3 linked regions of the Ovis aries genome follow. The protein of the gene in region 2 purifies or fractionates together with the protein of the main gene of each other region. This does not show direct contact. Links are inferred from orthologs where the notes say so. Each region holds a gene or a part of one and is shown on either strand. Other genes may lie near its edges.

Region 1 (3,500 bases), on a different chromosome or scaffold from region 2:
TTGCGGTGGGGCCTTGGCATTTTTTTTAAAGCTCCTAGGTGGTTCCTAGGGGCTTCCCTTGTAGCTCATATGGTAAAGAGTCTGCCTGCAATGTGGGAGACCCAGGTTGGATTCCTGAGTCAGGAAGGTCCCCCGGAGAAGGAAATGGCAATCCACTCCAGTATTCTTGTCTGGAAAAATTCTATGGATGGAGGAGCCTGGCAGATAGAGTCCATGGAGTTACAAAGAGTCAGACATGACTTAGCAACTAACACATTCACTTTCACAGGTGGCTCCTATGTGTAAGCAGGATTGAGAATCATCACACTTAAGGCTTCAGGGAGCAAAGTGAACCCACTGAGGATTACTGCTCCCCTTAGCCCCCGACACTGCCAAGGTCACCATCTACTCTATTTAGCCGCATGCTTGGACTATCAGCTCTCCTGGGTCTGTGGGTTTCATGGCTCCCTGGGAGGATACTGTTCTGGTTTTTATAATGTAGGTCAATGGGTTGTTGAAATTGTTGCCTGTCATACTTTTTAAAGGAATGCCCCAGTCAAGAGCATGTTGGCTACATGGATGCTGGTAGTTTTCTACTTTCTAGAACTCGGTGGCTTCTGCCCAAGAAATGATCCAGAACCCTTTCATCTTATGTTTTGTTGTTCTTGCTGTTCCTCTCAAGACAACCGATCAAGCCAGAGGCAGTCTCCACCCTTCAGCAAGACTCTTCCCAGTAAACCCAACTGGCCTTCGGCAAAAGCGAGACTGGCCACCTCTCTGCCGGCCAACACTTCACTGCATAAACCTCAAGTCCCACCCAAACCCAAAGAGATCCTTGAGGATGAGGTAAAGTAAATCTGTCCGGGGAAGGCTGCCCAGACCACGGGGAAGGCTGGACGCAGGGGCCAGATGAGGGGAGGGGCAGGACAGTGTAGCCTCAGATGTGTCTTCCTTCCTCCAGGCTTGGGTCTCTGACCGGCCCTAACCACCTGCCCTGAAACTCTCCACTGTCCTGCTGAAAGGATGTTTTCTCTTAAAATGTCACATATGGCCTTATTTAAGCACTTTCATGTACTAATCAGGTATATGATGTAATATCCAACCTGGATTTGTGCCCCTCTCACTATTTCCTCTTTCTTATCCCTCCGTTTCCTGCAAATCTCTCATTCCTCCATAAGATACTTCCCCACCTTTATCCTCCCATGCTTCTCTCCCTGTCCTGCCTCATGTTCTTTCCCCCACTTTCTTTTCTCTCTGATCCTCTAAGCTGCAGAGGGGTGCAACAGGATGTATACTGGAGACCCCCTGTCTGTATGGAGACCCTGCACAACCCGTGGAAGAACTGACCCCGCACTTCCTTCGGCATCTCTTGCTTCTCTCTCTCTCTCCCCAGCCCCAGGTATCCAGGAACCTCCTTTGCCAACTGTCTGGGACCCATTTCTAGGTTTATCTTACCAATATCCCTTCTGCCAGCACCTAAATTTTTCATGTCTTATTCCCTATGAAATTTTAAAAAATGAATGGGTGAACTTATTCGGACTATTGTAAGAATGACTGATAAAGCCTAATACGTTATGGCTCCCAGAAGTACTGCATTTAAAGAAAGTCAAAGACAAGCCCTCAAACTTAGCCTTTAGAACATTTGTACAAGTGCAATGGGCTTCCCAGGTGGCTCAGTGGTAAAGAATTCGCCTGCCAATGCAGGAGATGTGGGTCTGATCCCTGGGTCAGGAAGATCCCCTGGAGTAGGAAATGGCAACTCGCTCCCGGATTCTTGCCTGGGAAATCCCATGGACGGAGGAGCCTAGCGGGCTACAGTCCATGAAGTCGCAAAGAGTCGTACATGACTGAGCGACTGAATACACAAGTGCAACAGGCTAAGAAAGAAAACAACATTAAAGGCAACTCTTAACCATCACCAGACATAATGGTACCGCAGCTTCTTGAAGAAGCAACTGTTTCTAAATGCCTATGGGTGATAAAACCTATAGCTTACAAACATGCTGTGAAATGACCTTCTTTTCCACCTTAGCATAATTTGTAGCCCAACAGGAGACATAAAAGAGAGACTTTTAAAATAAAATAGAGGCAGCATCCAGGCCCAAATTCCCACTTCACATTTACTAGTTGTGTGACTTTAGGTATCAGATGGAGAAGGCAATGGCAACCCACTCCAGTACTCTTGCCTGGAAAATTCCATGGATGGAGGAGCCTGGAAGGCTACAGTCCATGGGGTCGCTGAGGGTTGGACACGACTGAGCGACTTCACTTTCACTTTCATGCATTGGAGAAGGAAATGGCAACCCACTCCAGTATTCTTGCCTGGAGAATCCCAGGGACGGAGGAGCCCAGTGGGCTGCTGTCTATGGGGTCGCACAGAGTTGGACATGACTGAAGCGACTTAGCAGCAGCAGCAGCAGCAGCAGGTATCAGATAATCTCTCTGAGTCTCATCTTTTCATCTCTTCAGGTTCCTTTAAAGATTTAAGAAAGGAATATAAATACTTAATTCAGTGTCTCACACAAAGAAACATTCTATGTATTGCATAAACTGGATTCCTTTCTACCATATTCTAGATTCTTTATAAAATCTACTTTTCTAGTTTCTCCTGAAAACCAAGGGCCTGTCAACACATGGCCAGTCATGGCCTCGAAGCAGCTGAGCCTCATGGCACCCTTCCAGCTCAGCTGAGAATCCCCGGCCCCTGTTTCCGTTTGTCATCATCTTCACCACTGACACAAGGCGTGGACACAGCCTGACTCTGCACACGCCCAGTTGCTATTCCGTGCCTGCCTGTAAGCACTTGAGCTTATGAGCCCCCTCTCCAGGGACAGTTTAAGTCAGGAGGTCAGCAGACTGAGAATGAATTTGGTTTGTCAATCCTCAGTCTGTCTGTCAGTCCGAGGGGATGATGCCCTTTCAGGGTGTGAACAGGTGGCAAGGAGAATCTGAGCATGGGACACGGTAGGGAGACCATCGGTTAGGGTCTCACTGTGAATTCTTCCAGCATTCAGAGGGTCTATAGGAAGATACCAACTCAGACACAGAATACAAATGAAGACTGTGAGTTACGTGAGGCTCTCCATTTCTGTGAATAACTGCAGGTGGACCCCAGTGGGGATAGGCCGAGTTTTGCTAATAACAGCTTTTTGGTGGTGGCTCAGGCAAGTCTGAACCAGCGGGGAAAGGGGACGACTGGAGGAGATACATTCTGGAATGAGGAGATGGACAATCAAGATGAGGAAGAGTTAAAAAAGAAATAGAAGACAACATTAAGATCTGGCCAAGACATTAGATAGGAAAGGAAGAAGTCAAATACAAGCACAAATAAAAGTGTGTAGCTCTGCCATACAGGTTACAGGCAAAATATGGGTTACAGGCTGAGCAGAGAGTTGGGGCGAGGGGTGGAGGAGCAACTGCCCTGTAATGACAGGAGGGTCTAGCACTTGACAAGCACTGTGTATCGGCTGGTGATCTGAGCCCTCTGTGTGTATTATCTCATCACACCCTCAGAGCAACCC
Region 2 (4,125 bases):
AGTGAAAGGATAAAAATTGTCAACAAAAATAGATCATGCAACACTGGCTGCCCCTTTATCTTGTATGGATCTGAGGATTAACTAGTCAACTAGCCTACAAATATTTTTGAAAAATGTCTTGTTCCCTTAAAAATTCTGACAGACTTCTAGTGGGATTTATGATCTGTTTCTGCATATAGCACCTGTGCTGTGCTGTGCTTAGTCACTCAGTCATGTCTAACTCTTTGCAACCACATGGCCCAGCAGCCTCCTCCATCCATGGGGATTCTCCAGGCAAGGATACTGTAGTGGGTTGCCATGCCCTCCTCCAGGAGATCTTCCCAACCCAGGGATCTAACCCAGGTCTCCTACATTGCAGGCAGATTCTTTACCCGCTGAGCTACCAGGGAAGCCCCACATATGGTGCCTAGGACAAGTAAATATGGCAGTGGCTGATGTGTCAAGATGGGCAAGCAGATCAGTTACCCAGGGCTGTGGCCATCATGGTCTATAGCCAGTACTATCTGCATGTCCTAGGAGAGCCCTCCTGGAGACGATCTCTGCTAGAACGTGAGCTAGAAGGTGGCTGAGGAAACATTCAGGCTTCAAACAACACATCTAGTCATCTTTTTTGAGACGAAAGAGAAAGTTGTAAATGAAGAGTTAATCCCCGAGGCAGAATCTAAAATGGAGAAAATCAACATCCACAAAAAATGGGAAGGACACATGTCAGTGTGTGGGCTTACACTCAGACATTTTTATCTGTAGAAAAAAAAATGCTTTCTTAGAAAATGACTCAGCAGGGGGAAGTCTTGTCTCTACCTCTGTCAGGATCTGTACTTTGGGGTCCCTTCATCAATAGTCTCCATCCTTCATTGTCAAGTTTAACTGTGTGGCCTCAAGTCTCTGCCTTAGAGGACATGAGACGCTAAAGACACACTCCCTTGCCAGTCCCTTTGTTTTGTCTCCACAGATCTGCATTTCTCCTCTTTTCTGGAAGTCTCCGCTCCCTGTGTTGACCATCCCAATGATCCTTTAGCGATGTCGTCCCTTTACGTTGGGGAGGTTAGCCTGAGGACGTGTCTGCTCAACCCAGCCTGGTCTAGAGTCTCAGTGGCCCCAGTCAAATAGAGAAGAGTTCTTTCAGAGCAGACTCAACTAGTACTGTCAGAGGTCCCAAGCAAATGAAGGGCGGGGACTGCTGGGCGGGTGGGGGGGTGGTGGAATAAGGACAGCAGCAGGGAACCAGATACCATGCTGCTGAGAAGAAGAAAAAAAAAGACATTGGTTTAAGTCAGGAAACAAAAAAAGGGAACTGAGTGGCTGTGAAAGGGTGGGGTTTGCTCAGACTGTCCTTCCTCTCTGGACTGTAAGAATATGTCTCCAGGGCCAGTGTCTTCTGACATCGAGTCCCGACTTCCAAGTCCCGGCATCTCAATGCATCCGGGGAGCTGCCTGCATTAAAGTCAGAACTGAGGTGGGTCCGGGGCATGGCAAGGGCTGGACAGCAGCAGTAACTGCCTTTCCTAGGACCTTGAAGGTCAGAGAGAAAGCGTGGCTGGTGCCATGTAGTCTGAGGCAGGAGGAGGCAGATGGAGGGTGGGAGTGTCATCGCCTAAGGCCCTGGTAGTCCCTTCTGATAATCAGAAGAGGCTGGAAGGGTCCTTTCTGGGGAGGTCATAGTTGGGTGGAGACAAGAAAAAAAAAGTGACATAAGGTGACCATCTGAACAGGTAGCAGATGTTGGAAAGAGGCAACTCTGCACAATTTGGCAGAAAAGTAAGCTTTCATGCCCATGGCTAAATAAGCCAGGATAAAAATTAACTGTTTGGGTAATATTGCCAGAAGACCCCAAATGGATCCGTGTGTCAATGAGACCTTAGGAAAAAGAAATTTTTAAGAGGCAGATTGTCTAAAAAAATTGGTCAAAACGCATATGCTTTTGAGCTCTGTAAGCTACGGAAAGGCTCAACCAGAGTGGAAAGCCTCTGGCTGCATTGGGCCAGTACTGCTGGGATCAGAGCTGCCTTGTTGGAAGGACTGTGCATGCCAACCTCGTGGTAACAGTGGGTAAGAGATCGGGCCAGAAGTCAGCCTCGGCCTCGAGGCCCAGACAGTGCGGCCAACCCCTGAGGTCACGGGGAAGCTTTTTCCTATTACCATTGCCTGCCATGTGCATGGCTCTCTTCTTTTCTAGGCTCCATCATTTGCTTCTCTCCTTTCCTCTCCTCTCCATCTGTCTCTCCCTTTTCCTCCTTTTCCTCCTTGTCCTTTCTCTACCTGTATCCCCTCTTCTTTATCCCCTCCTTGATTTTGTTCATTACCACCCCGGAACAGAGCCAATGCTTAATAAATTCGTGGGGAATCTCAGTGAATTCTTCTTGCCCCTTTCTTCCCCTGCTGTTTTCCCTTTGCCCTTTCCCCCTACTTGCCTAGTGCCTTCCCCATAGGATTGTCGTGAGTGGTGTGTGTCCTATGTAAAGTAGTTAAAATGGGGCCCAGCAATAGTCAGTGTGCCTATCTCAGTGTTTGCTATTATTTGTATTCTGCCTGAGACCTGTCAAGGTCCCCAAAAGGCCTGCCTAGAACAAATATGTGGCGTCTAGAATAAAAAGGATTGCTGGCTCTGACCAAGACATCCTTGGGTGAGTGCGGGCCAAATGGAATTCCAGTCCAGTTTCCCGGTCACCCTGCTCTCCAAGCTCCACATCTCTGTCTCATGTTGTCTGTTTCCGAAGGTAGGGCAGCAGCAAAGCCCAGAGGCAGGGCTCTACAGCTCAGGGGTTATCTTCTGTGCTGTTAGTTACATGCTGCTTCTGCTCCTTCCCTCCTTTTGCATGCCAAGCCCCTGACCAAGGGTGCTACGGCCTCTTGGAGCCTCAATTATTTGATTAAAAATGTCACCTACCAAATAAGCCACAAGATGCAAATACCCTAAATAATCTAAAGCGTTCTACTGAACTGGAATCCCTTAGCGTTAGCCCTATCTGGTCTATTCTGATCCCTTCAGACAACTTAAACTGTCTACTTGCCTTCAAGTCCAAATTCCTGTAGCTTATGGCTAGCGATGTGTTTGTTTAGAATCTTTTGTAAACTCCTCATGGTGAGAACTAGTGCAACTTTCCATCCACTTCTAGGGTCTGGGTGCAATTTAAAATTATCATCAGTATGATCTACTATTTCCATTTGAGCAAATTTCCTATAGAGAGTTTCCTTTCAGCGGACTAGACCCATACCAGGAAGTGACTTAGGTATAAGGGGAAGACATGGCTTTTGAAAACCAGTCTGAATGTTCTCCAAAGAGTCATCAGACACTTGCTGCTTTTTGCCCGTGGATGCCATGCCGATATCCGATGGCTAGGCCTTCGGAATAAGAGTGACATAGAATTTTCAGGAAGGCAGTGCTCAGTAAGAAGTTAGAGACAGACCTTGACCTAATTCACTCCAAAACTGCTGGGTTATGCAAATGAAGCCATCAGGGGGAGGGGGAGAGAGAAATGCTCTGAGGACCCTGAAACAAATGGGCCACGTGTGACTTTCGGTTTCTCTGGAGGTTCTTGTGCACTGGCTGAGGGTGTTGGGAGAGCATTTGAAAAGCAAAAGCCTTAATCCCAGGCTTTCCACCTCCCTCTCTGTGAGCAATTACCACATCCCCTTAGGGTTAACATCAGTTAGCTGAACTTTCAGAAGAAGCTATTCTCGCTGCCTTACATCCCCAAAATGAAAATGAATTATAGTCTATTAACTCCTTCCTACGTATTTATCTGTAATAGAAACAGAATAAAAAGAAACTGATTAGAAGTGGAGCAGAAAAGAGACAAAAGTATGGAAAAACAGGTTCTCCAAAACTGCTATTTGGAGTGGAAATCAGTTACAGTGTTTCTGGAAACTATTTTGTCAATATATTTCAAAATGCAAAAGGCACAAACTTTTTGACTCAGCATATGATGTTTATATAGAGATCCTAACAACAAGGGAAAACATCTGAAATAATGTTAAACAAGAACTTTAGATATTTTGTGGACAACGTATGTTGGGTGAAGGAAGGATACTTAGGTAATAAGTATCTAAGTATAAGAATAAGAAAAATAAGCAAACTCTAAATATTAGGTGCAATATGATCTCAAATATAGTCAGAAAAACACA
Region 3 (3,500 bases), on a different chromosome or scaffold from region 2:
CCAGACTTTTCAGAAAAGGACTTTCATATCCATTATTCTCATCATGGCAGCTCTAGAAGTTGACTGGGCAGAAATTACTCCCATTTGCTGGTGAATGGGGGCCCAAATCTTGGCCTTCCTGGTCCCAGCCCAGCTTTTCCCACTGCTGCACGCTGTTGGCAATGAACTCCTTTCCTTTTTGCTCAGCTCAGTCTAGGACTTGGACTGCATGGCAGAGCCCAGGCTCTGTCCACTCTAAAGGGCTGCCTCATGGGAGCTAAGTGAGTGTCAGCCCACAGACGTGTCCCAGTTGGATGGATGTGTAGCCAGACTCAGGTAAAGGGGCAGGACCAAAATCAGTACTGGGGATTTCCATGACTCCAGAATTCCTGACCCTGAGGGCCGAGATCCTTCTGTGATGCTCTGTCCCAAGACACATACTTGAGCACCCAGCACCCGTGGTGCTCAGTTGTGCCCTCAGGAGAACAAGTCCCCCAGGGGGGGCTGCATCCTGGAGGGACTAGCTCTCCCACACATTATGGATGCCTTGCTGGAAGGGGCCCTAAGCACCCTTGCCCACCCCCAGGGCTGCAGCTTGGCTAAGCCGCCACTCTCCCTGCTTGCTCCCTCTGCCTTGGCGGTGCCAGTGCAGCAGCTCCTGGAGGATGGCGCAGACCCCTGTGCAGCTGACGACAAGGGCCGCACTGCCCTGCACTTTGCCTCCTGCAATGGCAACGACCAGATTGGTGAGTCCTGGGGAGGTAGGGGAGAGGGGCTGGGCGAGTATTCTCCCCCCAGAGGCACTGGGGAACAGCACACAGAGGGTGGGGGGCTGCTGGAGCTGAGGAAGGCTGGGCCCTCCCACGCCTCTGGCCTGTGGAACTGGCACTGCCAGGCTAAGGTGGGGCTCACCTGGGGAAAGAACGAGATCGACCCCAAGGTTGGACCGGACCTTCCAGACATGCAGGCAACATTTACTCAGTGCTAAGGGCAGCAGTGGGACAGCCCGCCCCCAAACCCAATTTTTTTTTCCCCCCAGAGGTCTTTTTAGGATGTGGTATAACTGGCAAACAGTGAAGTCTCTGTATACATACACTGCTGTGTCCACCTCCTGGATCAAAATATAGAATCTTTTCAGTGCCCAGCATTCTGTCTTATGCCCCTTAAGAACCTTCACTAGCAGCCACAGCTGTTGGGAGAACTTTCTTTAACCCTAAAATCTCAGTCCCATAATACCTGCACGGGCTCAGGGACCCTCCCAGAAGCCTTAGTTCACAGTGCCCAGCGTCATGCACACAGGCCTCACGAGTGGGCAAGGGAGTGAAGCTGCACAGGGCAGTGTACTGGCTCTCAGTGTTCCGTAGAGGGGTGGAGGCTAGGATGCTGTCAGTAGACGCCCCCAGCGGCTCCTCTGGGGCTTTCCTGTTTCCAGTGCAGCTGCTTCTGGACCACGGAGCCGACCCCAACCAGCGAGATGGGCTGGGGAACACGCCACTGCACCTGGGTGAGTGCCTGGCAAGCTGCCAAGACAGGCTCCTTTGATGGAGAGCCCGGCGTCCTGCAGGCCCCCAGCAGGCTCTCCTGTCCCCTGGGGAAAGCCTGAGTCCCCAGGGCCACACTCCCCTTGGGCTGTGTCCGTGGCTGACCCCATCCACTATTGGTCGACTGTGCCCCAAGCAGGGCTGATTTCACAACCTGAACTGGCTCAGCAGCTCTGCCAGGGGAGGTTCCTGCCCTGTGGCCAACTCTCACCATGGCTTGTGGCGAGGCGGGTCCCACCTCCCAGCCTCAGTTTCCCCAGCTGTGTAGGGAGGGAGTTGGGTTTGATCGCTGAATCCCCCCAGTTGCTGCCTCAGTGATGCCTCTTGGGGCTTGATCTGGCACCGGAACCCTGAGAGACACAGTCCTGCTCCCTCCCGCGGGCACCCAGGGCCAAGCCCCCTGCGGTCCTGAGCTCTCAGTCCCTGTTCTCCTTCCTCAGCGGCCTGCACCAACCACGCCCCCGTCATCACCACGCTGCTGCGAGGAGGTGAGTGCTCCCCTCCCCGTCCTTCCTCCTCCTCCCCCTGCTCAGCATGCTCACCGCTGCCTGTCCCCCCAGGGGCCCGGGTGGACGCCCTGGACCGAGCAGGCCGCACACCCCTGCACCTGGCTAAGTCCAAGCTCAACATCCTGCAGGAAGGCCACTCGCAATGCCTGGATGCTGTGCGGCTGGAGGTGAAGCAGGTGAGCGCCCCACTCGGCTGAGCCTGCAGCACTGAGCAGGTGACTTCATTCATGGTTCATGTGGACCCCAGCTGACACCTGGTCCAGCGCACCCCTGGGCAGCAGCCTCTGGCTGCTCTGTGCCTGTGGGCACAGCCTCAGCCTGCCCTCTGGTTTCAGATCATCCAGATGCTGAGGGAGTACCTGGAGCGCCTAGGGCGGCATGAGCAGCGGGAGCGGCTAGATGACCTCTGCACCCGCCTCCAGATGACGAGCACCCGCGAGCAGGTGAGCGCGGCTGCGGTCCAAACCCCAGCCTGGCAGGAGCTTCAGGGTGAGCTGGTCGCCACTCTGAGGCTGGAGAGAGAGGCATGGCTGCTGGTTGCCGTCGTCTGTGGGCCTCAAAGCCTCTGTCCACCTCCTTGGAAGCAGCCTGAGTCCTTCTCTCTGGGGCAGCGAGGATTCACCCTTGGACAGCTGCTCCATAGTCCAGGGTGAAGCCCTCACAGGCCCTGTGAGAAGAGACAGTGCCTGCCTCTGCACCTGTGGTGCTGTCGGGGGAGACCCGGGGCACCCCACCACAGAGCCTTGGTTTCCTCCCGCAGGTGGACGAAGTGACCGACCTGCTGGCCAGCTTCACCTCCCTCAGCTTGCAGATGCAGAACATGGAGAAGAGGTAGCGAGAGCCGCTCCCTGCCGTCCCTCCTGCTGCCCGCCCCGCCCCGCCCGCTGCCCTCTTGCTACAAAGAAAAGGCCTGGCACCTGGGACCCCGTCTGCCGAGGCCTCATCCCAGCTGCTGGGAGGCAGAGGCGTTCTCTCACTGACCTCAGCGCCACTCACAGCCGCAGTCTGTCGTGTCCATGGGCCGAGACCACAGCCCCCAGCTTCTTCCTTTGGCTCCCGCAGCAGCACAGCCATGCCTCTGCCCTGGCTGACTTGACACGCGCTCTCCTCACAGGCCTCGCTCATCCCACAGCCTCCCTGGTGCCCTCAGCAGGCCCCAGACCCTCCTCTGAGTCCCCTCCCGGCCGTGGGCTTGTTGCAGCCAGCCGGGTGGGCTTAGGGCAGGCACCCTCTGGCCTAGGGGGCTTCTTGGCTGGCCCTGCACCTCTCACCAGCACTTAGATCAGGCTTGTCACCAGACTTGCAAGGAGACATGGCAGCTACTTTGTTTGGTTTGGAAGGGGCCAGGGGGGTGGTGAAGCCTAGACCTTAGAAATACAAGGTTAGGGAGGACCTTGCTGAACCCAAAGCAGAAAATCCCTGGCCCTTTTTTCCCCAATCACTGAAACACCGGGAGGGAGTAACCTTTCTG

The links. Proteins that work in one complex are often made in the same cells at the same time.
Region 1: the proteins of BTK (region 2) and BLNK purify together in Homo sapiens (affinity purification with western blotting; 5 studies listed by BioGRID and IntAct, with this or other methods). This does not show direct contact. The link is inferred for Ovis aries from reciprocal best matches to the Homo sapiens genes BTK and BLNK.
Region 3: the proteins of BTK (region 2) and ANKRD54 purify together in Homo sapiens (affinity purification with mass spectrometry; 4 studies listed by BioGRID and IntAct, counting the BioPlex papers as one, with this or other methods). This does not show direct contact. The link is inferred for Ovis aries from reciprocal best matches to the Homo sapiens genes BTK and ANKRD54.

What each region holds. Positions count from the first base shown.
Region 1 is NC_056075.1:17,382,649-17,386,148, reverse strand, and holds part of BLNK (B-cell linker protein), read left to right. Parts: intron 1-661; coding exon 662-825; intron 826-3,500. UniProt on the Homo sapiens protein: Functions as a central linker protein, downstream of the B-cell receptor (BCR), bridging the SYK kinase to a multitude of signaling pathways and regulating biological outcomes of B-cell function and development.
Region 2 is NC_056080.1:133,057,000-133,061,124, reverse strand, and holds the start of BTK (tyrosine-protein kinase BTK), read left to right. Parts: upstream 1-1,325; 5' UTR 1,326-1,456; intron 1,457-4,125. UniProt on the Homo sapiens protein: Non-receptor tyrosine kinase indispensable for B lymphocyte development, differentiation and signaling. Binding of antigen to the B-cell antigen receptor (BCR) triggers signaling that ultimately leads to B-cell activation.
Region 3 is NC_056056.1:215,473,094-215,476,593, reverse strand, and holds part of ANKRD54 (ankyrin repeat domain-containing protein 54), read left to right. Parts: intron 1-626; coding exon 627-725; intron 726-1,411; coding exon 1,412-1,483; intron 1,484-1,960; coding exon 1,961-2,008; intron 2,009-2,080; coding exon 2,081-2,205; intron 2,206-2,364; coding exon 2,365-2,472; intron 2,473-2,789; coding exon 2,790-2,864; 3' UTR 2,865-3,500. UniProt on the Homo sapiens protein: Plays an important role in regulating intracellular signaling events associated with erythroid terminal differentiation.